Lytechinus pictus: one gene and its partner. The protein of the gene in region 2 purifies or fractionates together with the protein of the main gene of each other region. This does not show direct contact. Links are inferred from orthologs where the notes say so. Each region holds a gene or a part of one and is shown on either strand. Other genes may lie near its edges. The genes, in order: SLAIN motif-containing protein 2-like and cytoskeleton-associated protein 5-like.

Region 1 (15,513 bases), on a different chromosome or scaffold from region 2:
CTGAACATTCTAACCAAACAAATGTTTGGAGCGTCAAACCATTGTTAAAAGGCAATACCCATCCCACTAAATCTTTCCCAGAAGTTTGGACACTACTTTATTACAGGTACTGTTTTGCTTATTTCAAATGAAACAAGGCAAAAGGCATATTTATAGACAAAATTGTACATAACTTTCTTAGAACGAATGGCATTCATGCTATATCTTGAAATGTACCAAAATACCATTTTCTTGTATAAAAAAAAATGTAGAGCTTCTTTAAGTGCTTATCAGTCAAGGGTAAATGCTTCCATAGACCTTCTCTGAAATGGATCGATTGATAGGAGACTTTCGTTGCATTCACAGATAGCTTGTCGCTGTGAAAATATCATGTGTTTTGCTAGCAGGCATGCTGTTCTCACGTTACTCTCTACAATAAATATATCAAGGATTGAGAGTCTGACAGAAAAAGTTAGAGAAATGCTGCATCAGCAGAAAACATGTATTATATGTAGAGTTTGGTTTGTTTAGCAGAGGGAGGTAATAATTGAAAAACAAATATTTATCTGACACTGTTAAAACTGTTTTTGTTAAAGCTGATGTTTTAATTTTACCATGGATCCTAGGATCCATATCATAAAGTATAATTTAAAACCTTCATCATGCCACTAACATGACCCTTAAAAACACACACACCTTAAGCATTAGTGCTAATATCCTTCACATTTTTCCTTGATAAATACATGTATGTAATTCAAAACAAACTTGGTCATAGACAAAGAAAATACTGCAACCAGGACCATGTACAGAACATACTTGTGATACTCATCTACATGTAAGTCCGAGCTAATTCACAAGATATCTTTATTACAGGTATGGATGATTTAATTTTAAATTCATTTTATTTCACCATTCTCTAAAAGTAGATGGACAAATCGAAATCGTACACCCTGACCTTTCTCACTCTAATAAAATGCAACCTAATGAATTCTGGATTTATGGTTGACTATAGCAGAGGCACTTTGCAATCCAAATTTGTCAGTATTGGCATACATGTACACGTTTTCTTACCAGAACATGTGAACCTACATATTGCTTTAATTTTTATATTGAGCCATCGCAGTAAATAAATCTAATAAAAATTCAAATCACTGTGAACATGTATATTGTACTGGGTAGACATGTACATGTACAGTACATGTAGGCCTTCACATAGTAATCCCCTACAATTATGATTGCTTTTTAATACAAAATTGTATGCTCATACACTAATACGGATACGATGAAAATTCATCGGTCAATACATTTAATTTTAAAAAAACCTCAAGCTATAAAAACTACAAAAACAAAACATCTTGGGCTACTATAAATGAAGTCCAAAAATGTACTGATAGAATCCTCACAAGTACACACACAGTTTTTATATCAGGCCTACACACATGTATATACCACTACAAATTACAAGGAATGGCTGTTGAAGTATTAAGCCAGATGTTCAAGAACTTCTCAACATCCAAGGCCTTTATGAGTTTTCAGCCAAAGACTGGATAACAGCTGCCAAAAGGGGCTACCATGTGTCACGTGTTCAAATGAAAAAAAATGCACTTTTACTACATGTACATTATATTACATGTTTATCTGCTGTGTGCCTGTGTAAAAACCTGTCCCTTGTTCTTGAAAATGAACAAACAAGTATCTGTCAGCAATGATCAAATTATCATTTCCTTTGAAAATACTGCATTTGGGGCATTTTTCTTTTGAGTATCCAGCAAACATTCAGTTAGGCATACAGATGTAGTCCTATAAACCTGGAATGGAGCGGAAGGTATATTACATAGCCTACTCATCAAAAATATTTTTTTTAAGTAACATTGAATTCTATCAAGCATAATAGGCTATTAAAAAATAAAAATGATGCAGTTCAAATGAAGAAGTATATAATAGGGGTGCTTCAAGTGCTTGAATGTCATTTTCAACTACGGGTCTTTCCAGATAAACACATACATTATTTCAGACAACCAATTGTTACATCTAATTTCTCAGCACATTGATGAAATTCAAATTTATTTTTGCCCAGTCAAGAGTATAAATTCCTCTTGACAGTTTCTAGGGGAATACCCCCTCCGGTTATACTTTACGCACTCCAAATATGGAAGCAGATTTTGCCTGACTCACTACTCTCTTCTAAACCATACCATTGCAATACAAACATACACTGTCTGGCGGGGGCTAGCCTTGTGTGATGTAGACTCATCTTACCACAAGTTCATGGCAGGTACAGCCAAGGTTTAGTCTGGATAACAGTCATTCTTCAGGCATAGTCTCTGAAAACTTCTATAGCCTCAATGAAATTAAAGACATGACTGAAGTGAAAGTGAAGAAAGAGAAGAACATTGGGTCTACAATGTACACTATTCAAGTACTCTGAGAAGAAAAATGTGCCTAGGTTTCATTAGTACAATTTACATAAGCTTCTGGCGGAAGACATCCAGCTTTCGTTGACTTTATATTTTCCTTTTATTTGCCCCTTCAATGAAAAAAAGAAAACATACAAGGAAATATATAATACAACAGCAATTAATGTAGGAGTACTTTCACCGTAAGTGACTGTCCAAAACTAGTTTTTTTTCTGTGTGTCCACTGAATGTAATCATATTACTATCAATGTGCTGCCTTAAGTGTCTCAATTGATCAATTCTAATTAGCTGCTCTCATTAAAAGAATTATGAAAATTCAATTTGCATTATAATGTTGATGACCCAATGTCATTGTAAAGTATCATTGTCATCAATGATCATGTGTCTACACAAAACATACAATGAAAGTCTTTGCATACATGTACATGCACTAAAAATTAAAAATCAAATAAAAGTAGGCCAAATTCTGAAAACATTCGAGAGGAGAAACATGGTTTTATTACAGCCAGCTTCATCATGAAAGAATCTGTTTGAAGTTAAATACTGGCACTGTACATAATTTAAAATGACAAACATTATCTGTGGAGGATTCATCAAGTTAAATGGGAAGATGCATCAAGCCCTATGGAATGACTGGATCCACGTTGGCTTGGTGAGTCATCGCTGTAGTAAAGATGTGACTGCCCTCAAGTTCACCAACAGGTGAATACAACAAGAATTACATTTGATGTAGAATGTTTTAATGTAAATATGTGGATTGTTACTGCATAGTAGTTATTGTAGTCAACATTATATACATGTACAAGTAGGTCTACATAATTGGTCCATAATGTATTGTTGCATTATTTATGGGCACAGCCATATTTATTCTTATTTTGTAATTTGCAACTGTAACTCTGCTGGAGTTATACGTAGTATACATGTACATGTACAATGTATGTAGTCACACAGGACTCGAAGTGAAGAAATTAGTTGCAAATACAATGAGGCAGAACAAATCAGGGGCAGATTCAGGTAGGGGAACATCCGGCCCATGCCCCTCTCCCCTTTTGTAATTTGAAAGGCACAAAAAATATTTTTCTGGTGGATATGTCATGCATACGCAAGCTTGCTTGTCCAATTTTCCTGGAACAAAATTGCTCTTATTTGTTAGTGAAATCTATTTTTAAACTTTAAACTTTTCCTGGATAAAAATTGCTTTGATAATTTCTTAGTGAAACCCTTTTTTTTTTGCTTGTCAGATTATTCCTGTGTACTTTCGAGGTTATTATAGTAATTCAACAAATACTCCCAACATGGCCAAAGTTCATTGACCCTATATGACCATTGACCTTGGTTATTTGGCCTTAAACTCGCATACGATGTTTAGTGATACTTGACTGCTCTTACATGTATGGACCCCTATGAAAAACAACATTTGCTGATCTGGGTGTTCCGTCCCATGAGTGGTAAATAAATAAATGATAAATAAATAATGAATAAATTTCATAAATAAATAAACAAATAAATAAAAAAATAAATAAATAAAAAGTCCAAGTTTCATGAAGAAGATCCATAAACTTTCAACAACAAAAAAGTTATGATGGTAATTAAACAATTACCCCCCAACATGATAAAAGCTCATTGACCCTACACAACCTTTGACCTCAGACAGGCAGGATGTTCAGTGATACACCGTTACCCTTATGTCTAAGTTTCATGAACTAGATCGATTAACTTTCAAAGTTTTGACAAAATTTCAAAAGCTTAACCTTGGCTAAGATTTTGATGTTGATTCCTCCAACATGGTCTATTAAAGTCCATTGACCCTAAATGACCTTTGACCTTGATCATAAGACCAGAAAATCAAGCAGGATGTTCAGTAATACTTTATTACTCTTTATTTCCAAGTTTCATGAACTGGGTCCATATACATTCTACTTTATGATGACATTTTGAAACCGTAACCTTGTGTTAAGATTTTATGATGATGATGCCGCCGCCATCAGAAAAGCGGCACATTAGGCCTCACTCTGCTTTGCAGGCTAGACAAACATGGATGCAATACACATTCATTGCTGCAGCTTATTTCATTAAAAGGGAGAAATATCATTCACACATAAAAAAATGAAATCATAATTATGACTTCATGTAATAACATATTAAGGGAAAGTGGGGATGTGACATCATCCGCCTGCCTAACAAATATTCATGACTACGTGCATATAACTGTTTTCACAAAATATTGCTAAACTTTAAAATTCAATAACTTCTTTACTTGAATTCCGATTTGATGAAATTTTCAGCATTTTGCTCAGTGAATTTTACTCTGTTTATTCTGATGTAAGAACATTTATTTCACATAAAAAACCATACTAATATTACAGAAAATTACAAAACAAAGAAATTGCTCCATACATATAAAAGAGAGAGAAAAAAAGACATACAAAAAAATTTAAATACAATAGATTATTTAATAAATAAAAAATTTAAATACTGATTTTAAATAATTATTTTAAGAATAATAACTATTTAAAATCAATATTCAAATTTCATCATTTAATAAATAATAATCTTAATCTATGAATTGATCTTCATAACATAGCTCATTGAAGCTACATCATATTGAAGCGGTTGGGTCAAGTCTATTGTATTTGCAGTGTTTACGAAGGGATACACGACATCGGTCTGGTAAGAAACCTCTGATTTTTCTTCTTTTTTTCGAAATTGTACTACCTTTATACGCATTAGGTGTATAATAGGATCGGTAGTTCCAATGTTAAATATGAAGGGATTTCCCTTCTTGTTTTGATAGTTCGCTAGGCAGTCCCATATGCGTGTCTAGTAAGGCTCTTATCGATAACGTCTTTATCGCTAGTCCTTTCGATAATCCCTTGTTTTTTGCCACTTAGCGATATCGATAACCTTTCTCTCGTTGTTGATAGTACCTCTATTATGTAGGGACACAGTAATTTTCTGTGATTTCACGGAAACGGCCTTTTGAAAGTGGCTTTTTAAACAGAAAATTATGGAAAACATATTTTTCCTCAAACTGCAGTGAACAGTCAGTTACTCCAAAAAACGAATACTTACTAGCCACAAGACACGATATCTCACCCCCACTTCGCTATAATCATGAAAATCCAATCGTCGAGACTGCACTCGACTTCATTCGATCGAATAAAAAACATCACTAGCGTAAGCTCAAATATTAGTACTAGAAAGGCAGCACACGGCCGTATGTGTGTTGCTGCCCTCTACGCTCCGGTTAGTCTAAAAAATGGTAATTTAGAGCCAGTAACAGTTTCCTCGCACATATTAATTCACTGCCAATTCCAAAACAACGCAAAGGCAAATTACGCATGCGCAGAAATCGCAGCACAATTCATGAATATTCATGAGCGGGACTAAAGATCGAGATCTTTCGCATTTGTATCAGACCTTGATCTATAGTCCCACTCATGAATAGGAGGATGGATATGGAGTGAAATTAGAATGAAAAGAAGTTTTTTATTCTTTTTAAGGTCATGTTGTTGCACAAGTTTTATATTTCCCCTCATAAAATCCCACCTTTGTCACTTGAAGTATCAGAGCGAGTTTTGTACCTTGAGGTTTGGGAAGGAGTATCGTAGTATAGCGGTAGTGAAGTGGAGCCTACACGAATATCACTCTTGAGCCTGAGGTAACGTAAACGCCATGCCTCCTGCACCCATGGGTTCATATCATCTCGCGTGCGAAGGAATATCAGTCATATGCACGCGACACACACGACACATCCAAAATATACTGGGCTTTTGCCCACATAAAATATCACGCATAATCTGGTATTTCACATTCTGCTATGACACTTAACCGAATCATTTAGATCCTTCCGTGACTTCTCCTTGAAGTTTCTTTTAAAAAATATGCATATTTTCTTGATCTGTAGTGAAGATTTCACGGAGATAAATATTGGTCAGCGTGGATATCAATTTTCGCCTAAAGAGGGCGCGCGATTTATATTCATATCAAAGACACGACAAGGGAAAGACTAGGCAGTGCCTAGTCTTTCCCTTGTCGTGTCTTTGATATGAATATAAATCGCGCGCCCTCTTTAGGCGAAAATTGTAGGCACCTACACTATTTTACACGCAAATCAAAGCAAGGCATTACGCGAAGTCCGTGAAGTGTCTAATCCTTTCATTGTATAGACTTTGGTATACCGTATTATTGACGTACGTTAAAGCTTGTACTGCTGGTTTCGTTCCAGGCATGTGTATTTTTTTCATTTTTTTTTTATTAGTCATCGTTTTAAAGGTAAATGCTAGTTTTGGTAACGATATCAAAATGAGTTCGTACAGAATCCAATGAAATCACCACCAAATAGTCTGTTTGTATTTTAAAACGCATGTGCCAAAGGATTCTGGAAGAAATTGTGTAATTGCTGAGAAATCAGCAAATAAGCACAGGATTCGGGTAGAGCGTCGGGCCCGACGCTCAAAGCAATAATTATACACTGTCCCACGTGCGCTTATCTGTGTTGGGGAAGTTCAGTCTGAACATTTTTCAGCGTAGATTTCAAGATTTTACAAAGTTCAGTTTATGTAACTGTACCAGATCTAGATCCTCGATGATATACTGACAATTAAGCCTGGTTTTACAGACTTTCTCATGAAATCAGTGTTTACTGCAACTACTGGAATTTCTCTTTAAATTAATTGCAAAAAAGTGTTATCATCGCCAATAGTAATCTTGAATTATCTTTTTGAAGGTATTTTATTTATTGGTGCCCATAATTAGTAAATTAATCATAAGAATTGCGCATTCAAAGAATTTAGACACAGTTATAAAATTACCAAGGAGCTGAATCAAGGTTGTGAAATTTATTAGCGCCCCCAACGGGCTTCCTTGTATTTCTGTAGAAAAGACAAACGAAGTCACTTGCTAATGGCAATGCTAGGCCGAGGTAAGCAAAATTTGCTCTTTTTGTAATGAAATTATTTACAAATCATAGTATAATTTTTTGATGTATTGCTACATATGGTTGGAACTACCCCTTATCGACCACCTAATCTTCTAAGCATCGTATCTGCGAAAATATTCATCAATTTTACCCAGTTTTTGTCTCATTTGTGCAGAAAATTGAGCAGATCAGATTCCCATGTTTCGCTTGGCGACTCCGATTCAATCCGCGTATATATCGACGAACAACGAATACGACAATTTTACATTTGCTCATTTGCACCCGTCTTTTGAAACCGACCACCCGCGATACGCTAAGTTTACGGCCGATTCTTGTCGCGGTGGCGAAATATTTTTACTCTTCAAAATCAGTTCTATGATGTCAACATGCTAAATTATCGTCTCACTACTTCCATTGCGAGCTCCGGCACATGATTCGACGATTGACGACGGATATTTGTTCTAAAGCCATTTCCTATCGGATTTCTTGGTTTTTCAGCAAGGTTTGGGTCTGGTCAATACAATTTTGATTACCGTAATTCTACTAAATTTTTACTTTTTGTTGCTTCTTTTTTTCTTGTAAAATCGATTCTTACCGTTTCTAGCTATGGACACTGCGCCTACTCTCCCGCACGTATCGTTTGTAATACGCAATCATTTTAACGCGCGCAAGGTGGTCGGTTTCAAAAGAGGTGGTCGATATGTGGTAGTCTCACCATACCGGAAAGAGCCCCGGTGCGTAGCGAGGAGTTTCGGCAAATGTTACTTCAGCAATGAAGCGATGTTTGCCGACTACTTCGAAAATCCAGGGTCAAACACGGTCCCTTGTACGAGGTAATAGTATATAACCTCGTAGTCGTATTACTATTAGTGTGAGTGGGCGCTGGCTATAAATCTTTTTCTTTTGCATTGCTTTCACTCAAGTTTCAGGCTTTGCCTTTGGCTTGCCTTTGGCTTTGCCCGGGCTTTGGTTTTCTTTTTTTTGTGTTGTTTAGAATTAGACTAGAGTCTAAATACTCACCAAGTATCATCATCTGAATCTCCTAAATTAGTGTCCAATACTTTAACTGCATCGAGAAGACCTTTATCAGAGTTTTTTGTCCTTGTCTCATTTATTTTTCCCGATTTGATATCTCCATTAGAAGTCAGGTTCGTGTTGGCTTCTGTCAATGGCAGAGTTCCATTCGATGCCGGACTCCCGATTGCATCCGCTTTGCTTCGAAGCAGTTCGTTCTGTTTTTCAAGCTTTCGGACCAAATCCTGAAGCTTTTTCACTTCAATTTCAGGGTCTATAGTGTTCTCCATGGTTTTATACCTAACTAGGCTCCGATAAATGTGAAGATTTTCGAAGAAATCAACGAAAACAGCAATGTTTATCTGACGTTCCTTTCCTTTTCACGGTAACCTACTCTTCGCCATGTTGATTATATTGCAATAGGCTGCGCATGCGCAATTTGGGCTGTGGCTTCTATTTATGTAGTCTAGTTTTTACAGACACTATCTTTTTCCTTTTTTTGGGGGGGGGGGAGGGGGTAGTAGAGTGGACAAAAATGCAATTTTTTTAAATCAAGACAAGTTATTTCCTCATTCTGATAACATACCATAGGATATAGGCATATTCAGGCTTCTGATTTTAGTATTGATCGAACTTTATTATAAATAACAATTTTGTAGGACCAGTAGGGTCTAGAGACTCTAGACTATACTAGACAGCTGTCTGTTTTGTGGAGTTTTTTAATATTTTTATTTATTTTTTTAAATTTCTCCTCGTATTTTGGTGAGTGGAGCCAACGGAGTTCAGCGGAACAACCAACATAACAGAGACCAACGCTTTTGGTCTAGGTCTATACTAGATCTATGTATAAACGAGCTAAAAATGTCGCAGGGGGGCACATTGGAAATTCATAAAAAGTCGCGAGCAAGCGGAAGTTTGGGCATGTTTAACGATGATGATCTAATTTTGTGTTATTTTGACAAAATATCACACAAATTATAGTATCATATTTTATCGTTCCCCCTTTCCTTTTCTTTCTTTCCCCTTTTATTTTCGCCCCCCCCCCCCCCCTCGGACATGGATTTTTATTTTTAGGGGGAGGCAAGAGCCTGCCCCCATCTGTACGCCAGTGATATTGTAATGAATTTCACCACAAGCACACTAGGACCTGTCATTGGCTGACAAGCAAGGGGCAAAGGGCGTGGGAAGGGAGCACTGATGTCCCCTCTAGAGGAGAGTGGAAGCATGGTCAAAGTAGTAGGTCCATGGTGGAAGGGAGCATGTAGTTTGAGGGCATCCATCGGTGCCATATACAGATGGGGGGCTTGGGGCGATTGCCACCCAAATATTTTACGCCCCCCCCCCCCGGAAAAGAAAAAGTAAGAAAGGAAAGGAAAGAGAGGAGGGTGAAATATTATATGATTTTCTAAATATTATGTTCGCTAAAAATGTTGGCTCATTAGGCCGCTATCATCCATGCATGGAAAGAATCACATCTCAGTACTGGGACCTGGGAAGCGGGGGTGCTGGGGAAAATTTCCTGGGGGTGCTGCGTGTATTATTTTCCATAGGCAGCACCCCCACGAAATTAGGTTCCCCCTGTATTTTTTAAAATATGTTATAATTCACATAATTATCACATCCGACAATCGCAAATCATTTACATAGTCTTTTACATATTCCAATAACATCCCTCCTAAACACGACTCAATCAAGCTCTGGCATTCCGATACAGAAGTGTTCGCGCGCGATACTTGCATAGTTTACACATTTGGTTTACCATGGACCTATCACTATCATTCGTAATAGGTCCATGGGTTTACACACTACTCGATAGCAGCATGGACCTATCCATGATAGCAGGGAGAGAAATATGGGAAATGGGTGTGGTTGGACTTGAAACTTCCAGGTTTTATGTCGAATCAAGTGTGCGCGCGTCCGACCTCCGGCGTGTTTTTTTTTTATAATCAATTACAAGTAAGACAATAGAAATCAAATTTCACAGTCTTTTTTGCCCTGCCCCATGGTCCTGGGAAGCGGGGGTGCTGGGGGTGAAGCACCCCCAAAATTTGGGGGTGCTGCATGTGTTATTTTCCATAGGCAGCACTTCCTGGAAAGCTAGTGGTAGGTGTGATAAATGACAGAAATGAAATCAAAATGAACGACGTTTTGTAGAGCCCCCCCCCCCCCTTCAGAATTTTCCGACACAGTACTTAAAATAGTGTTTAAATTCTTCACCCCTTTTCAGATCGGAATATGAAATGTTTTCTGCTCGCGCTTCGCTCTCGCGTTATTGATTTTTATAATTAAAAAAAATGTATGTAGAATGCCCAGATACTAGGTCTAACTCTAAACATGCACACGCATGTTTATTCAGATACGCAGCTTGTTTGGGGGGTACTCCGGGCTGAAAATATTTATATCAAATACATTTTATCAAAATAAATAAATTTTATGAAAATCTGATAACGAATAGTTAAGTTATTTAATTCTACAGTTTAGCAATAATTTATGAAAATTGTGATATGCATGTCATAAATACTTAATATGTGGGTTGACATGGGCGGAAATCTGTAACCAAAGGTAGGGGGGACCAGTGCCTGTAAAAATTTGACAAGCAAAAAAATAAAATAAAAAGGTTTTCACCAAAAATGTAAGGTCATTTAGTCCAAAATACATTATTATTTGATTGTGAAGTTATGTATTTTTCTCCATCATGAAAGACCAAAAATAGTACTAGGGGGACATTTGATCTTGTGTCCCCCTACTATATTTGGTAGGGGGACACGTCCTCCTGTCCCCTCTGGGATTTTCGTCCATGTGGGTTGAAGATGTCACATCCCCACTATCCTGTTTCGTGTGTTATTACATGGAATCACAATTGCTTCATTTTTTTCATACCAGTGTGAATGATATGTCTCCCTTATAATGAAATAAGATGCAGCAAAGAATATTTAATGGACTAAATCAGTTGTCAATTAAACTGTTTTTGGTTTTTGAAGGGAAAATATTGAATAAACCTAATTATATTAAAATACAAAAGAACAAGTGGGGATATGACATCATCAGTTTTCTCATTAAATATTAATGAAGACATGCTTAAAACTGTTTCACCGGAATAATGCTAATCTTTAAAATGCAATAACTTTGATATTCCTTGTCGGATTTTGATCAAATCTTTATTCTTATGTTCGTCTGATTTTTCTTTATCTGTTCAAACCATATTACATTCAGTGCGGAGTAGATCAAAATATCAAAAAATTTCTGCTCGCGCTTCACACTCACATTATTAATGTCAAAATATATCCAATTACCCATCATTTTCTTGATTTACAAAACATGAATAGAATGTCCCGTTTATAGGTCTGAAATCTCAATTTTGTTTCCGCTCGCGCTTCGCGCTCGCATCAATACCTATCCTGTTCTTGATTAGAAAAGTGCTTAGAATGTCTTGTTTTTTGGTCTAAAATCTCAATTTTGTTTCCGCTCGCGCTTCGCGCTCGCATCAATTGTATAGTTATATACTTATCCTGTTCATGATTAGAAAAGTGCTTAGAATATCTCGTTTTTTGGTTTGAAATCTCAATTTTGTTTCCGCTCGCGCTCGCATCAATTGTATATTTATATACCTATCCTTTTCATGATTACAAAAAGTGCTTAGAATATCCAGTATTTAGGTCGGAATGTCAAAATTTTCAGCTCGCGCTTCGCGCTCGCATTATTCGATTGTTGATAGATGTATCGTCTTAATGGGTAACTGCAAATAGTCCTTATAACACGTCCCTTTCGATCAGGCCAGAGCGTATATAAAAAATATCTGCTCGCGCTGATCACGTTCCCAGTTATTATTTGTTACATACGCATCTTGTTCCGAACCACACAAACATTGCTCAAAATATCAAATTTTCAGGACAAAATACATGAAATCCCTCCCCTCGAAAAAAAAATAGCTCGCGCTTCGCGCTCGATTTATCTAACTACATGTATATGTTCTTTTGTAAGAAGAAAGCTAAGAAGTGACTGTCATATATATATATATATATATATATATATATATATGAGGGTGAGGGTGTGTGGGTGTAATTATGGAAAACTTAATTGTGTCCCCCCCCCCCCCACCTTTGAGGAGAGATTTCAGCACCCCCACTGAAAAAATCGTTCCCAGGTCCCTGGATTCCAGTGAAAAGGCTCATGACGAATTTTTAGCACGTGTGAAACCAAACTAGAACATGGTTAGAATCACGAACGCTAATCACAATCACGAATTCAAATTTTTACTCCAGATGCGAATTCAGTTTCACTCAAAGTACGGTACGAATTTTGCGTGTGAAAGGCTTGACCTATATACTAAACATCTTTTGGGGCGGAGCTTGCATTTCTGTAGATAATACAATGAGCCCCAATTGTGACCCCATCCCCAGTCAATCATGGATCCATCCTTGAATCGAGGAGTTACTTATTAAACTGATTATCTCATGAATCTCATGAATGTGTCTAACTAACTTTTGAGAAAACTATTTTTTAGAAAGAAAACAGAATAAAAAAAGACACGCCGAAAACCTAATCAATTAATCTCAAACGACCCCCCCCCCCCAAAAAAAAAATAATGCAAATCTGATTTTTAAAGACAGCCCAGTGGGTTCGAATTACTGCTCTCGTCCTCATTATGTTCAGCGAGTTTACAATTCTCTGGTCTATCTGATTAAATAGAGGACAGTATTCTTTTCAAAGTGATTTTGAATGAAGTAGTTTCATGTTGAAGAAGATGAACTTTACTACTGCGCCACCAATCGACTAAGTCGAGAGATGTTTCGAGGGCGGATAGCTTTATGATCGTCTGTTAGAGGCGGGCACAGTCAAATGCATTTATTGATCAGCAGCTGATCATATATACAGGGCACCAGTACACCTCCAGAAACATAACACTTTCTGCTCAACGCTAGACATCAGAACAAGGAGAGGGACTTAAGAACAATAATAGGTATGTAAATGCACTTTATTTCAAATAAATGTATTTGTTATTTGAAGATGATGATACATTATTGAATGTTGAAATTGAATTTCATTTCATGTCTGTTTCGAACAAAAAATATGGATTTTTATCTTCTTTTTTCTTTTCATGTTGCTTTGCAATTGATTTTTTTACAGAATTACGTTTTCAGTCACCAGCGATTTGAACTTTTTGTTATTACGATCATCAATCTGTGTGGGTTCATTTTGCCTTATTTCTCATGTTGTCGATCCCTTCGTCATATACCAAGCTTAAACACTTTGAGACGGGATTAACATCTCTCATATTCAAACCGACTGTAATGCACATCTTAACGCAAAATTTTGTCTTCTTAACAAAAAATCAAGGCAATGAAAAAGAAAAGTTCCAAGTCCGAACCATCACAAGCGAGGACTGGCCTATACAGGCCTATACCTTTTATCAATGTATAAATTCACTTATGGGTTCATTCTGTAAAAGGTATTTTCATAATTTGGTTGTCATTCAATAATATTAATACTACGATCAGGAATAATGAGTAAACGAGTATTTTTGTTTGAGCGTATGATCAGTAGGCCTATTGATATTGAACACTTCTGATTCTTGAGAGTTGTAAACAATAAATGATCAGTGACCCGAACTGACCTATGATAAAAAACAAACTGCTTTATCAAAGTATATCATGCTTAGAACAGGTCACATCTACCTCGTATAGGGCTTTTCGCCTTGATATCATTCGTGCATTATATTCACGTTATTGTGGCGATCATAATGCTTTTTGTGAATCTTATAATAGAGAGGGAAAATCTCGCGAGGCTGTTTGCGATCGACCCGAACAATGCAGTGTTTTGAAAGGCAGACGCCAACTAACGTGTTCCAATGTCGCTTGAAATCTATTTCACTCAATAATAGTCTCTGTATAATGCCAGCGATCATCAACTATGATCAACGTTATGTATATTGTACTGACTCTTATTATATTCCCCCTTCATATTCCAGTCTGATATGTTTCAGAGATGATTTTCATCAACATCCCTGGGTTCCATTATTTTGTTGTGGTTTTCATTTTTGTGTTGCCAAAATTATATGGCCCTATAGAACCAGAGTATGATTAACATTATAGTATTATTGTATTACAATCATATAGCGTTTAATAATCATGGCTTACGTTTCATTACAAGAAATGAAACAATGAGTGATTATACTTTGCACCATTGTGGTCGATCTGACCCCCCTTGTTTTATGAAATGCTGGATTAAGTAATTTGATTTTGAGTCAGAGATCATTTTTTTTATTTACGTAACGAGGTCTGAATTTCAGCCTAAGAAACAGCTGCGGCAACTATATTATATCAAATTTAAAAAACATATCAATATTATGCGTGCATGCACACAGGCGATTCGCTTACATACACTATATCATTCACGGGATCAAGAAAATATTTATATTCAGTGAAGGATTTTTTTATAATGAAAATTTATTTATTCCAACGTTTGCACTATAAATTCATTCATCATTATGATAACCCTCGAAATCATATTCATTCTATAATATGCTTTGGTCATATCATAGACCTAGGTCCATGGTCATATGCCTCGCTATATTATTTAGCCCTTTAAGTGTGAAATCCAATCTGGATCTATAATGAGAACCAGATTACCTGATCATTTTGACTGCGTTAATTTCTTACGTGGTCATAGGCCTAATGCAATTTTCATCAATGATGCATAAAAAATCCAAAGTCTTTCTGTTGCCATGCCATGGCAACAAAAAGACTTGATTTTTTAAATACTGTTTTGCATGCATTGCTATATAATGTTTGGAAAAGTATATAAAATAAATAATATTTAATTTTGGCAACAGCAAATTCGTATCCTTGACTCACAAATCCACTGTGCAATGTAAATAAATGTTTTTTAAGCCCGTATACAGTGATGATCGCAAGTGGCGTATGATGAGAGTTAACAAAAATGACGGGTAAGAAGGTGGCGTATACATGCAGAGACACTTTCTAAATAGTCGCGATCAAGCAAAAAAAAATCAAATCTAAAAAGATGGAAATCGAATTATGTGACGTATTTTACGTAATAAATTCTAGTTTTTTCCTTTTCCTCATTAGTTTTGCTTTTTTTCTCGGTATTTTAACATTTAGAGGGGTAAGTGCCCCCACATTGCCATCATCTGCACGCCAGTATGATGTTGAAATAAATCAA
Region 2 (16,345 bases):
AGCCATTTTTCTAAAACCGTGGCGAAATGGAACCCCCTAATCCTCTGTGCTTACCATCTCCAAGGGCTAAGTCCCAAAATATTTGGTACTATGTGAGGTAGAGTTTGTGTTCTTGCTATGTTTCAAGTATGCATTTATCACATCACCGCCTTTAATTTCTATGGCCCGTATTCTGAAGTCGGGTTTAACTTAAACTGAGGTTTAAAGTTGTGGTTTAAGTATGGACAGCCAATTGTTACATAATCACTAACAGTAGAGATATCATACTTCAGCTCATTCGGCTCTCAAATCATTCATAATTGTGTAGGAAGTATAAATAGATGATTGTCTTCACCATCGATGAATCAGGAAAGAGCACAGTAAACATAAGAAACATACAACTTAATAAAAATTTTGATACTTTTGGCTTCCCATACTTAAACTACAACTTTAAACCTAAGTTTAGGTTAAACCCGACTTCAGAATACAGGCCTATGAAAACAAGGCCATTTACAGATGTACATGACCTGTACTCTTAGACCAAGTATCACTTAGGCCATGGTCTAACTCTGCTAAAATTATGGGAAGCTAAAAATTTCAAATTTCTTATACACACAATCTGCCTCCATGGGAATCAGTTTTAGTGGTCACTATAGGCAGGTGGCCGCTATAGAGAGGTAGCCACTAACACAGGTTTGACTGTATTTTGTATTCTACATATAAGCACTGGTGGTCACCTTTTTTGGATTCAATTTTAACTAACATTAAGATTGTTACCACAACTGGTGTTTATATTAAACAACCAAAGACAATTAACATAACAATGAGAGTGACAATTTGATGGCAAAGTTACGATAGTGATTTATTTTTTTATTTGCAAAGGGGGGGGGGGGGGTGGTCCAAATAAAATCTTATACTAAAGAAATCTATGTGAAGTGCTCAGATCATTCATTAAGAAAATCATGTTGCAAAACGGCTATATTTGTAAAATACAATATCAAAGATATTTTATGTTGTTGGTACGATTTCTATACTGGTATATATTTTGATGATAAGTATTTTGTACACAAAGAATTTTATTCCACTTTCATGTATTGTAATATTGAGTGTGTGAACATTTGTGTCATATTATATAAGACGTGAGCAATGTGTACAGGTTGAGTTATATTTCTGCAGATTAAAGGAGAATGAAACCCTTGAAACCAGCTGAATCCATATCAAAGAGAACAATCAAAGAAACATAATGTTGAAAGTTTGAGGAAGATTGAATGAATAATAGGAAAGTTATGAGCATTTGAATATTGAGATCACTAATGCCATGTAGATCCTCCCATTGGCAATGCGACCAAGATCTGTGATGTCACACACGTACAACTCCCTCATTACTTTAGTACTTATTTCACTTATATTCTCACTTTTATAGAGTCTATCACAAGGTGAGGTGTTCTCTTTATGAGAGGACAAGTACAGAGGTTTCACAACATTATATCATTGATGAATCGTTTGTCATATGATTAGAATGAGCAAAAAGAGACGTTTTGGGGTATATTTTCAGTGTCCAAAAGGGGAGAGTTGTTCATCTGTGACATCATAGATCTTGGTCGCATTGCCAATAGGAGGATCTCCATAGTATTAGTGATCTCGACATTCAAATGCTCATAACTCTTCTATTGCTAGTCCTATTTTACTCAAACTTTTGTTGATCTTATTCTATGATTTTTCTGCTTTCACAAGAGCTAACTTGCTCCAAGAGTTTCATTCTCCTTTAAATTCTCCAGACTCATCGGCCTGTATGGTGAACTCGAGTACAATTATGTCCCATCCCAACTTTGAAAGAATTCCAGTTTAATTGGTTTTTTTTTAAAGTAAAAATGTGTGAAGAATCAATGGAAAGAGGTTCCCTCATTTATTTTGATTTAAAATGACAGAAAGAAAATATGTGGGAATATTAATGTATTATTTTGATTTATACATTGTATTTTGTAATAATCTTGTTCTGAATATATTTGATTGATTGCAATGTTCAATATCTGGCAAGTTGTAAGTAACGCCAGGGCCACGTCTTACAAAGAATTACGATTGATCCGATCAATCTCAACAATATGGACATCCACCACTGCAATTGTCTTTTCTAATAAGGGAATGGCAATGAATTTTCAAGAAAAAAAATGTATGAATATACATTAGATCTAGAATATATTTTGAACAAATAACAATTTTAGATGTTGACATTGCTGGCTTTCCACAGTTGTGGTTGAGTGGATCTATCGTAACTCTTTGTAAGACGGGGTCCAGGGCCCTATAAAAGTTGGCAATCAATTGCTACATGCCAGTGACTGATCAAGATGAGCGTGGCATGCTCATTTTGCTTAAAGACATTGACAAGGGTCTAATTACAGTAGTTTTTTTTATATTTTCAATTCATCGCAAACTCTTGTGTCACTGGGCCTGCCACGCAGTTTGTTGAAACTTTGAAAAGAAGAAAACGATATATTTTATTCTCTTTGCATTTTAAGTGTGTGAATTATTGAGTATAGGTGCTTTATATGTTCATTGGTGTAGTAAACTGAACAGGTTGTTTTGTTGTCAATTTATGATCAGGAAAATGAAATTTCCTTTAATGATTATCTTGGCTGTGAAAACCTGTGTATGAGAAATTACCTGTAAGGAATAACTGACATTATTTACATTACACTGTGGTATCATTTGTGTTTACCATGGATTCAACTGTTTTCAAATAATTTGAAAATAATGCATGATTTCCCAGATAATGATTAAATACATTGAAAGTATTGACATTGTAGACTATTATAGATATAGGAAAGTAGGAAGATGGGAATGGTCATTTTGAACTATCTAATTCTTTTCATGATATGAAGATAGAATTTCATTCAAATGCCATCACATTGAAAGTATAGTGAATAAAGAGTTGAAACTATTACCCAGACTATGTAGTTTTCGTAAATTTAAGTCCCACACATTCTTATCTGTGTGCGGATTGAGTCAAAAGTTTTATCATGAACACCAGTTCTTTGGTGCATTGTTATCAGCCATTTTACAATAATTTTGACACAGTTTCCTCTATAATTTGAATTTGAAACTAGGGGGTGTTTCACAAAGATATAAGTATGACTTTATAATAGGTCGCACTTAAATGAAGACACATACATGATATGCAACGCACAATCTTATTGATCAATACACAGTAGTGTGCGTCCTCCAGCATGATCTGACCGATGCAGTCATGCCTTTTATACTGCACGCAGCTAGACATTTAAGTGCGACTCTAGGTCATACTTAAATCTTTGTGAACCACCCCCCCTGAACTCTTAACTTTAATTACATGTACTACACACATTGTTTAATTTTTATGTAACGACTGACCTTGAGAATCATCATTTGCCATGTGACATGTATTATAATTAGGTAATCCTAAGAACCCTGTCGGTGGCGAATCCAGGTAGGGGGGTACGTCCGAACCGTGCCCCCCCCCCCCCTTTGAGAGGCACACAAAATATTTTTAGGGGGATATGTCATGGTTAAATTTTTCTCTGAACCAATGAACTCCATTTTGGAGTGAAAAACGTTTTCTTTTTGCTTATCAAATTTTTCTTGTAGAAAATATGCCCCTCCTTTTGGAAAATCCTGGATCCGCCCCTGATCCCTAAGTACAATTGATTGATAATTGATCTGAACTTGCTATTACTAAAGTTCCACAAATGTTTCAATGGGAACATCAATCTCCTTTAGATGGTAGAAAGTGTCTGCATGCTCCAGGTTTCGGAGGCTTCTGTCCTCCCTCCCCCCCGGGGGCAAAAAACAAAAACAAGAAAGGCGCACTTTGTTTTGATCTATCTCACACTTTGAACAAAGCATTGAGCCATGTATGATGCCAATTGTCAACTCCCGCATCTAGTGAACAAATATGTACGGCCGCCAGAGGAGGTGGTCTTGACATTGATGGATATCTTTGGTCACATGACAGGGTTTAGACCAATCGCCTGCCACAGATTATTATGATGGATATAATGAGAGATATCACTCAACAAGCAGGAAGTCTCCAGAATTTTCCGGCTCCGCGCCACTCAAAAGTCTCAGAAACCCGGTTCAGACACTTTCTTCAACCTGGAGAGAACTGGGCCCCGTCTTACAAAGAGCTACGATTGATCCAATCAACCTAATCTGTATGGAAATTCATCAATGGCGTAATTTTTTTCAACAGGAGATTTGCACAATGTCCTTTGTAAAGAAAGACAAGTCCACTGGACTTTCAAGGAAACAATGAATGTGTGAATAATAATAATAATAGGCATTTATATAGCATCATCTATCTAGAAATATTCTATTCCGAGGCGCGTTGCTATTATTATTATTACCCCGGCTTTATCTCGAGCTGCCTCTCAGCACTCATGCATTCAAGGAATTAATCCTGCCGGGTACCCGTTTACCTCACCTGGGTCGAGTGCAGCACAATGTGGATAAATTTCTTGCTGAAGGAAATTACGCCATGGCCATCATATCTAGGAAACATTTTGAACAAACATACATTTTAGTCTAAAATGTACATTTGTTCAAAATTTTTAGGTGTTGGCTTTGATGGCTTTCCGTAATTGTGGTTCAGCAGATCAATCGCAACTCTTTATAAGATGGGGCCCTTATGTCCATGTTGAAATGTATTTAGTTGTAAGCTTTGATCATCCACTCATTATTTTTCAGGAGATATAACTATTGAATTCATCACAGGTGTCTAGCTATCATATATTTTCTTTGGTATATATTGAAACACAGAGTTGTACGAATGTCTTTATATGTATCTATGTTTTGTTTATATTTGTTGACAAATCATGTGCATTCTTACCTGTACATAGGAAATATTAAAGAAAAGAATTCATATTCTAAATGTCGGAATAAAGATGTAGTTCGAGTGTTTATTTTATATATTAGCTTCCTCTGGTGTTCCAATATTGTTTTTGAGATATTTTTTAGTTTGTAGTGCCCCCCCCCCCCAGTCAAATGTCAAAAATGCTACTCTGTTTGTCTTGTTAGGTTTAGAATACATGGCAAGAATTTATGAAGGTTACATAACCCCCTCCCCCCCCCCCCCCACATGTAGCCTCAGTGAGACTGGCAAATGAGCTGATAGGATAGACTATTTCATGAAAAGCTATCTCAGCAGCGATTGTGCAATCCCTGATTTTGGTACAAATGTTGGAAATGCCCAAAGTCCCTTATTTTGACACCCATATCAATTTCTAAGGGTGTCAGCCTTTTTTCTCATTATTTTGGCCTTTTGTTCTTGAGTTTGTATTTAAATGCTTTCATTAGCTGTCGGCTTAATTAATATTTCACTGATTTTGCTCTCCGATATCCTATAAAATACATCAGGATGATGCGTCCATTCCTGAACAAATCCTGTTATCATTTTTACTTGTTTGCAGAGGCTAAAATTTGCTGTAGACCATAGTTTTGTTTAGTAGAGATATGTACGATTTCACCCCTGATGCTATATCGCTGCAATGTGTATGTCTTGATAAATGTGGTGGTGATGATGGTTCTGATGGTGGTGGTGATGATGATGGTGATTATATTTTTACCTGATTTGATGAACATGATTTTGGTGGTGATGATCATGATGGTGATGGTTGGTGGGAGTGATAAATGACATTTGCAATGTTGATGGTGGTGATTAAGTTGAGTGATCTAGTCATGATCTTGTAATGTTGCTACGTCATGAAAAACAGTGGTTACATCATTCTTCTAATGCAGTGGTTCGTTTTCTTTGATTCTCTTCCATTTTCTGCTTTTGCTTTGTTAATAGGCCTACTTCTATTCGTTCTATCTGTGCTTCCTCTTTTTCTTGTTCTTCCTCCTCATATGCTCTTCTCCCTGGCCTTTATGACTTTAGAGAGGGGCCCGGGCGGCGATTAAGGGGGGGTTAGCCCTTGTTGCTCATCAGTGATTCAATTTTTAAAGTGGGGAAAAATGAGAAAAAGAAATAAAGGAGAATACAGGCCCCCTATAAAAAAGAGATCTGTATCATGTTACTTTATTGGAATGATGTGACGGCACTTCCATCTAGCCTAAATTATACCCGAACGTCACCAGTGCCGCCAGCCCTGCTCAGAGGATTTTGATTTTTATCCCGTTGTCCTCTTTTATGTGAACGGGAAGGGGTTTCCCCGCGGCGCCCATGGCTGCTACATGTAGACTTAGTTGTATTCTAACAAGGAGTTTTAAGACATGGAGAACCATCCAACACTTTCCCTATAGCCACTTTGATGCTGCAATGATAAAATATGTTACACATGTTTTTCATTGCATATTTCGTGCAGATTGTAGACAAAAGATTCCTGCCTAACTACAGTGCGTATCAATAAAAACGGGACAGTTTTGAAAAGTCTATCAACATTTTGTTTGAAATTATGATGTCTATATTTTAATATTAATAGATGCTCTTAAGTCTTCTCTTTCAAATGCCATTAGAAAAAGAAGTTTCCTTCATGCTTGAGCGAACACGAAACGTTTTTGTCAGGGGTTCAAAAAAAAGGGCTTGCGCCAAATGGCAGAAAATGAGAATATATTGATGATCAGACTTCTAGCTATCAGCAGCCGTCCTCTCAACATTTTCATTATCTTTGCCATGATTTTTTAATTATGCTGTCAAAAATCATTTACAAAGCTACATGTATTGATTTACTTGAATTCAGGGAAGGAATAATTTTTTAATCTTAGGGGCTATTTTGCCATATTGGGGCGATGGCTGAATTCTGGTGGTATTTCTTTAATTTCAAGGGTACGCGGTACATTTCTCCCCAATGAGTAATATGCTCTGAAAGCATATTTCATTATTCTGACGTAGAATATTGATTTTCTTTATATCTTGAATATTGATGGGGCAGATAATGCGGCAACATCAGAAAAGATGATTGCCCCAAGGGCCATTTTACACATTTTTTGGGGGCTGTCATGGGGGCGAAATCGCCCTTCGCCCTCATATTTTCACTACACTGGCCTGAATTGTTTTGTGTTTTCATTTAAACAGCTTATCTTTTAGCATTGAATATTCCTTCATAAGTAAGAAAAACAACAACTTTTTGTCATTCCATGAGCTAGGAGATTTGAATTGTCTATGCTGGGAAGAGCTTGTAAATGATATAAAAAAAAATATGTGCAACAAAGATTATGATGCCTTTGAAAGACATGAATCCTATTGTCAAGGGAACATTGATTCCTTGAACAAGTTAAATTGTGTACTTGACAGGACAGTATTGTTTAATATGTTTTTCAAAGGAACCGTAACCTTTGTAGCACAAAATGAAATGATTTTGATAAATTACAAGCTTCCTTTAACAAAGAATATCCCCTTACCTGGGTTAACAATAATTTTATTCATGCTAAAAGATATCCCAACAAAATAATTCAAGTAAATAGAATAGTTTTGTAAATATATTTTTGACAGAATAATTCAAAAAGTTATGACAAAGATAATGAAAAGGTTAAGAGGAGTCTGCTGATTAGCAAAAAGTCTGATGATCGATATTTTCAATTTTCTCAGTGCCATTTTGGCGCAAGCCTTTTTTGAAAACCTGACAAAGACGTTCGTGTTCGCTCAAACATGAACGAATTATTTGTCTAATGGCATTTGAAAGATAAGACTTAAGAGCATCTATTAACATCAAAATATACACATTCTGATTTCAAACAAAATTTTTGATAGACTTCAAAACTGTCCCGTTTTTGCATGCACTGTAGCCCTATACAGACTTGCAGGCGAATTACAAAAGGAAACATGCTTTTGTAATGATGATTACTTTACGCTGCTTCTGGTCGAATAACATGAGCAGACACGTGGCTCACTTTTACACTGGGGGACAGCAAAAATGAATGTTGCAATATTTCTTGAAATATGATTTGAAATTATTTGACTGGCCGCATTTGGCCGCAGTTCTGGCACATGGCATCACAAATTGATACATTCCAACAAACTAATCATAACCGTGACATTTTTAGTGTAAAATGTTGACTTTAAAAATGTCAAATTATTCGGTTTATCACAATTTGAAACTGTTATCATTCAATATTTCGCCCAATATCAGGCACACTGCGCCTTTGATATATAATTCGTCATGTGTTCAATATCTATGCATGTGCTTAAATGAAAGTGGAAATATTCCAGCAATAATTCTAATTCGCCTCAAATCATTTTTCAGTTTTTCCATGAAACTGACGGCATCACAGGTCGCCACCAAAGGCTACATATTGCATCTATGTATTTCTTTTGTACTTCTTTACAGGGGCCGCGGAAGCGGGGGGGGGGGGGGGGCTTCAGCCCCACACTTTTTTCCAAAACCGTGTACAAAAACGTAAAAATTACCATAGCCTATGAGTGGCGATTTTTTGCATGGTCAGCTAGCCCCCCCCCCCCCCCCCCACTTTGAAAACCGTTCCGCGGCCCCTGCTTTATAAATTGGAAGCTCTTTGCATATCGTTGTCACTCCATTCTTTTTACCTCCATGATTCTAATCAGGCTAATATAACATCTGAATGGGACAAGAGGAATTTTTATCAATCAATCTTTCACCAAATTTGAATGAACCGCGAGCGTAGCAGACGGTTTTTGTCAATTAACAACACAATGGGAAAAGCACACAAACCTTTGACACGCGAAATCACTAAAGTGAGCTGTATTAACCAATCACGGTCGAGCTCTCATATTCACGGACCCACATCCGATTTGAAAACATTTCAGAGATATAACGGGACGGATTTAGACTTCTACTGCGAAATAGGGTAAGTTTTATCTTTTTAAAAACTTTTTGACGAAATTTCTGATATTTCAAGCAATGCTAGTTAAAGTAATTTGTTTCTCTATTAAACATTCTATGATTTTCCCATTGGAGAAGTTGTAGCGACGTGATTGACAATTATCTCCAATTGACTTTGCACATAAACTAAGTTTTGAGTGCAGTGCAGACTTTGACTGAGAGAGACTTGACTTGAGCTGTGCCTGTGGCTGTGATGTGGAAATGTGCAACCGTGTCCGTGTGATGACGAAGGGGAAGACTCGGCTGCAAAGACATGCCTGCCGACTGAAAATGAAAAGACGGTTTATGAAAAAGAGAGTGAGAGAGAAACTTCAATTGTTCTGAGACTTCTGTGTGATGACAATGACATGACAATCGAGTCAATGAAATAATAAACAAGAATCAAGATGAATTCAGTGAATTTGTGCTTGGGTTGGGGATCATTCATGATCATGCCTTTTCATGGGGATGGTGATGATGTTGTTGACATTATTTGTTGTTTCTGACAATAAATGTCTGATGCCGAGCACGTTACTTAATGGCCAATGTCATGAATATCTGTATATATGGCGCAGTTTTGTGTTGGCTGACTTCAACTTCAAGAGAATTTCCCCTCCAGTAATCGTTCGCAAATGTCAGCAATTCTCTCAATCACATTGCAAGCACCCACGGCTACATGATATTGATACATCTCAGCCGCCGACTACAGAATAATTGAAGGCACGGCGCATTCAACAAATAACATTAATTTACGAGAAATTAATACGAGGACTTACAGAATGAAGTCCTCCTACGAAACTTACGAAACGATGTGAAGTCAATTCCTCATAATTTGATGAATATCCCTCAAAATGCGTCATTTAAGCGTTGATTTTTCTTCTCGTTGACAAAATACGAGAGCTACCTTTCTAGCTCTCAAACTTTTCATCTAATGAGCGAAAGAGGGCGCGCGATTTATCTTCATATCAAAGTCCAAAGACACTACAATTGAAAGACTAGACACAGAAATTATCTTACACGTAAATCGATGCAAAGCGTTACGCGAAGTCGGCAAAGTGTTCAATCTTTTTACTGTAAAGACTTTGGTGGAACATTAATTGACAAACGAACGGTAGCACTTGCGGGGCTTTGTTCAAGGTACATAGAATTTTCTATATTTTTTGTTTAATTTGTCATCGTTTTGAATATTTTCCAAAAAGTATTATCGTCAGCAAAAATAATAAAAAAGTATGTTTTTTAAGTTATTGCATTTATTGGGGTCTATATTTTATCAAACAATTATTGGAATTGCGCATACAATGAATCATGAATCTAGTTTAAAAAATACCACCAAGCTGAATTAAGGTTGCGAACTGTATTAGCGCCACCAACGACCTTCCTTTTATTTCCGTGGAAGAGACGTGCGAAGCCACTTTCCAGGTGGAGGTAAGCGATTTTGCTCTTTTTTGTGTCCTTTTTAAATTAAAAAAATATGTTAAAAATTGATAATGGAACGCTTTCTACCAGAAAAAGCCCTGGTGAGTAGCGGAATGGGTTTCGGCTAACATCATTCACGTTATGAAGCGATGTTAACGGCAACTCTAAAATCCACTACAAAAACACGTTGGTTGTGCGAGGTTCGTATAGCATCCATATACTAACCTCGCAATAGTGTGAGTGATTGCAAGGTCAATATGCCCCCCACTTTTCAGAAAATTGCTATCGGGAACTGCTCTATTTCGGCCTCGATGTCATGTCATCGTTTTAATTCTCAGACATCGCTTTGCTTAGTTGGATCAGATTTGCTGTAATTTTGGATTGAAGTTACTGACCAAAATCTTGCAAACATGTGGCGAACAAACGGATGAGCTGCCGCAGACGCATCTTTTGGTCGCCAAATTCCTATCAAAACTAAGGCGAAGCCAAGCATTGCCAAGGGAAGCGATGTCTGAATATGAAATCGACGATGACCTCGAGATCCAGCCAAATTACGGTACTGCCGCTACCGATCGCGATATTCAGAAAAGTGGTGGGTGTATTGACCTTGAAGTGATTGAGAGACTTGCTATGAAATTTAATTTCACTTTTACTTAGGAAATTCAGCTAATTAGCACCCCCATGGCCATGTCTTCCCCAAAAAATGAACTATTTAGAAGTGTAAACATTCATGAATATCTTTTTATTTCACATAAATGTCAATTGATAATGTTTCTGTGCACCTAGAAATTAATTAAGATTTAAAATCATGAATTTATTTTTATTCCACAAAAACTTATCTAAGATGATGTTTCTTGCATGTACATTTAAATGAGTACATGTACCAAAAGTCTCATAGGAATGTGAGAGAAATGATTTTCTTGGGAAACACCTTGGCTTTATACATGTATGTGGTCATATTCAGATTGAACAAAAAAATGGTGCCCAATGTCTGCACACCCATTCATGTAACAGATGATTCAGGAATTTTGATGAGAAGGCTGCATTTTGAGGCCATCACATTATAAAGTACCTGAAATTCAATTTATTTTTGAACAATTTTGAGTCAGATTTTTAAAAGAATATTGTCCTTATTCAATGCTCCACACTAGCTTTTTTTCTTGGTGGCCCGCTCGATCGGTCCACCAAAATCATCAATTCTTGGTGGCCCGAAAAGCAAACAATAGAAAGCTTTACAATTTATCAAAACTTTGGTAGCCTGACTGGGACACCAATTGCAGGCTTTTACAAAATTTTGGTGGCCCGACTCATTTTTGGTTGCCCCGGGCCACTATTAATGTCGAGCCCTGCCTTATGGAAAGATGTAGATTTTGTGGTCCTTGTGTGTCTTCGCTTTTGAATCGTGCAGATACGCATACATGTACATGTACATTATGTATGTGCACCTTACTATAAGAGTGGCAAAAAAAACTTTAAAAAAGAAAAAAAAAATATTGGAAAAGCCTCGGTCAGTCATTTTCAGATTGAAAAAAATAACCGGTGCCCCATGCATCCATGTCTGCATTGCAGCCATTAAAGGAGAATGAAACTCTTGGAGCAAGTTAGCTTTTGTGAAAGCAGAAAAATCAAAGAATAAGATCAACAAAAGTTTGAGTAAAATAGGACTAGCAATAGAAGAGTTATGAGCATTTGAATGTCGAGATCACTAATGCTATGGAGATCCTCCCATTGGCAACGCAACCAAGATGTATGATATCACAGATGAACAACTCTCCCCTTTTGGACACTGAAAATATTCCCCAAAACATCTCTTTTTGCTCATTCTAATCATATGACAAACGATTCATCAATGATATAATGTTGTGAAACCTCTGTACTTGCCCTCTCATAAAGAGAACACCTCACCTTGTGATAGATTCTATAAAAGTGAGAATATAAGTGAAATAAGTACTAAAGCAATGAGGGACTTGTACGTGTGTGACATCACAGATCTTGGTCGCATTGCCAATGGGAGGATCTACATGGCATTAGTGATCTCAATATTCAAATGCTCATAACTTTCTTATTCATTCAATCTTCCTCAAACTTTCAACAATATGTTTCTTTGATTTTTCTCTTTGATATGGATTCAGCTGGTTTCAAGGGTTTCATTCTCCTTTAACTTTACACAATATTCAAAGATTTTGATGAGAAAGGTTGCATTTTGAGGCAGACAGGAAATGCCTGAAATTCAATGTTTTACCACATTTTTTGAGTCAGATTTTTAAAGGAATATACATACATGTAGATACATGTCTACATGGATGTATCGCAGGTGTAAACTTTAGTTGTTGCGGGTCTTTTAATATTAGAATAGCGTATGTTACACGTACATGTACGTATCGAGGGGCATTGCACAGACTTCGGGCACCTTACCATACTCGCAGCCCGCTGGGTCTGGCAGACTTGGCACGGTCTTGGGCATATGTACATGTATGTATGACAAGTTCCCGCAAGTCTGCGCACACGCGTATCTGCGCGATTCTAGTAAAAGAAGATACGCAACGAACACATACTTTACACATGCAATACATAGACAGATGTTCATTAAAAAATCTGACTCATAATGGTGGAAAAATATTGAATTTCGGGCATTGCATGTGATGGCCTCAAAATGCAGCCTTACTCATCAAAATCCCAGAATCGTGTGCAAAGTGAATTTGATGATTTTTGTTATAAATTTGAAATTTCCATCTTATAAGGATTACCACCCAAAGTTCCAAACAAATATTGAGATCACAGACAGTTTACATGTATAGTGGGCTAACCCCTCATGACCTCCCTACTGTATAGCGCTTTGCCATAACTTCACATCACAAGCATTTTTTTATGCTTGAAAACAGCATGACTTGAGGTACAATTTGAGAAATGATAACTTTTCTTAAAGAGGGATTACAAATGGGTAGAATCTTGTAGATGCAAGAGGGGGGCATGAAGTTGTGAAATTATGTACATTAAAAGTTTCTTTTTTATATATTAAATGTCTATGAGACTCCCAATAAAATAAATGTACATGTAACACAGAAATGTGTTTAAATTTCAAATTACTACATTGTAAAATCAATTAAGAAGCTTGTCGGAGAACTTCCCAAAAGTGCTCCTGGGCAAGCTAAAGGACTACAACTAGTACATCTGTACATGTACATGTCGTACTAGTTAGTACACTGTACATTACATACTGTACATGTAGCAACTTTGAAGATTATTCAGGTATTTTGTTTTTGTTTATTTTCTATTGCCCCTTGGCTTACCTACTACATGTATCTGTTGTACCCGCAAAGTGGTAAATAAACAGTTTGCGATAAAAAAAGATTTAAAGACTGGCTGAGTGGATGATATGAAAAAAAAATCATGTAGAGAGAGAATCAAGTGCTTGTATTGTAAGTGCTGCTAGTTTACATGTACATGTATGTTCATATTGGGTTATTTACATGTATTTGCCAGGCTGTAGGAAAGTGTATCTACTGATTCAGCGTGCATAGGAAATGCTTCACAGGAAATTTTGCCGTCATGACGGCTCAAATCTCCCCTAAAATTCCCCCAATTAATGCATGCTTTTGGGGGCTGCCATTCTTTCTAGAGTTGCCCCAAGCAAACAATATTCAAGATTATTAAGAAAATCAATGTGCTATAAACTATTAAATGGTAGAATTTAATGATATTTGCCTTTAATGCAAAATTGTTTGTTGCCCCTAAAAAGTAGCCCTTAAAAATGAGAAAAATAGCCCCCGAAATTTTGCAATTGTCCTAATGTAGAAAAAAAAACGGCTTAAAAAAAATAAAAAGTATTTCCTACCCTATACTGATGCAGGGCCCAGATACATGTAAACAGTATAATGTGAATTCCTTTAATCCTTTTGCAAGTGCACTTTCAAAACAACATTACAAACACATATTTTCTTGTTGATTTCAGGGCACTGACTGACAGCATACGGTCTGTCTTTGTTTAAATACAGATATGTCTATTCCAAATGCATATGTGCATTTGTCCCTCCAGCATAAAAGAATTTAAAAGTTTAATTTAATCACATTTATCTTTTTTACAGGTGAGCAGGTCTAATCTGATGAGAAAAAAATCTAAACTTTAATAAATTAAAAGTAGAGGAGGGGAGGGGGGGGGAGGTAGGAACAATGAAATTCTTCTACATTCTTCACAGTTCACATCTACATTGTACATGTACAATGTACATACATGTATGTGTTCATCTGAACTTACATGTAACTACACATGTATAAAATGAGAGAGAAAGAGAGCTCAGAGGAGAGAAGGGACTTTGATTCGATGTGTGTATATACTCAAGCACGCAGGCCTTCATCCTCAATCTGAGAATCGGATAGAAAGAATACCGTACACATGATGTACTCACACACATACAGATAGTACGTAAATTTACTTGGTCTGAAAGGCAAGACTACTTGCAAGTTGAGGTGCAATTTATGTAGTTGGAATGGGCATTATTATTATCAGTGGCTGCATTGGAGTCTGCATGTAATGATGCGACTCACTGCTGGGATGCACCCCGACAACGGATGACTCATCCTCCATGTCTATAAATACAATTGCTGTCTGGATAGTCTGATTTCAGACCCATAAAAGACATTATTACAGACAATGCATATGATGGAGTGCATTGTTTTATGAAGGGGAGTGTCAACATGGAAAGATTTCCTGAGTGTATAATGAAAGTTTGTTCCTTTTCATGAGAGTCCGTTTCTTTATTTTCTAAGAAAAGAGATGGATATTAGTTGATGCATGGAGGTTTGGGCCTGCTTGTATTGTATTATGTACATGTTCATAGAATATTTTAATATTTTCTCGGTATTTTGTATACAGTACATGTGTTTACAGATAAAAATGTGTTGCAGTTTTTATCATTCTTTCAGACCAAAAGAAAATAAGAATAGAATACTGTAAGTTGCAAATCAATAAAGTTTAACTGTTTACATATTAACGAAGATGTTTTAATACTATTAATAGACAATTTCATAGGAAAGAGGCAAAGTCATTCTGTTTTCATGTTCCCCATTAAACCATATAAAACACTTTGTACACTCTCACACGACGAAAAAATTTTGGGCTCTCCTCTGACATGTTAACATACAATGTACATGTACCAGACCTGCCAACCAGTACGTTTAAGCCGTATTTAGTACGTTTTTGCAACCAAAATACGGCAGTATTTTTTTTTTTTTTTTTTATACAAAATCGTTATTTATTGAGAAAAATCATCTCTATATGTCTCTATTTCTTAAAAGTTACACAAATATGGTTATTAGATCAATGTAATTTCAGGTAACTTGTTTTTTTTTTCAATCATTTTGTAAAAACCAGGGTGAGATATACACAAGTTTCAATGTTTTTTTTTTTCATCTGCAAGAGCAGTGCGCATTTTAGCTTGCATGCAGCTTGAGCGCCGTGATGGGCGAGTGCGCCAAGCATTTTATTATGAAATACACTTTTTTTGGGGAAAATACAGTTTTTTGTATCACAGAATACAGTTTTTCATTCCCAGAGGTTGGCAGGTCTGATGTACATGTATTGTATGTAGATAGGGCAAGAGTGACATGCATGTGCTGTGTGCACATGTACATGTATGCATGAATGTACATTTACATTATACATACTGTGTTTCACCGAAGAGCAATTGGGCAATCCTGAATCATGAACTCCATTCATGAAATTACACAATTTGGCATACTGTGCAGTGTGCACTATAGACCAGCCACATGTACATGTGCCTCCAGTACATAACATGTACATGTATTGTACATGTATGGTGTCTTTAACATGGAGGATACTGTATTTTCTTTGTGTACGCTTTGAAAGTATAAGTCTAGTTCAGAATCATTCTGTGTTATGATGATGATGATGATGATGGTAAGGATGATGATGATGAGGAGGAGGGGGAGGAGGAGGAAGAAGAAGATGATGATGATGGTGATGATGATGATGATGATCAATGATGATGATGGTGATGATGATGATGATCATGAAGTTTATGATGATGATGATTCCCGGGGGGGCCACTTCCATTGACGAGTGGATACCATGCGCAACCACGGGGTCTTGAAAAGCACCCTAAACACGTATTTTCCATATTCTGAAA

What was found.
Region 1: the proteins of cytoskeleton-associated protein 5-like (region 2) and SLAIN motif-containing protein 2-like purify together in Homo sapiens (affinity purification with mass spectrometry; 4 studies listed by BioGRID and IntAct, counting the BioPlex papers as one, with this or other methods). This does not show direct contact. The link is inferred for Lytechinus pictus from reciprocal best matches to the Homo sapiens genes CKAP5 and SLAIN2.

What each region holds. Positions count from the first base shown.
Region 1 is NW_026974140.1:15,919,199-15,934,711, forward strand, and holds the start of SLAIN motif-containing protein 2-like, read right to left. Parts: upstream 8,622-15,513; coding exon 8,379-8,621; intron 1-8,378.
Region 2 is NC_087253.1:4,052,046-4,068,390, reverse strand, and holds the start of cytoskeleton-associated protein 5-like, read left to right. Parts: upstream 1-8,684; 5' UTR 8,685-8,769; intron 8,770-16,345. UniProt on the Homo sapiens protein: Binds to the plus end of microtubules and regulates microtubule dynamics and microtubule organization. Acts as a processive microtubule polymerase. Promotes cytoplasmic microtubule nucleation and elongation. Plays a major role in organizing spindle poles.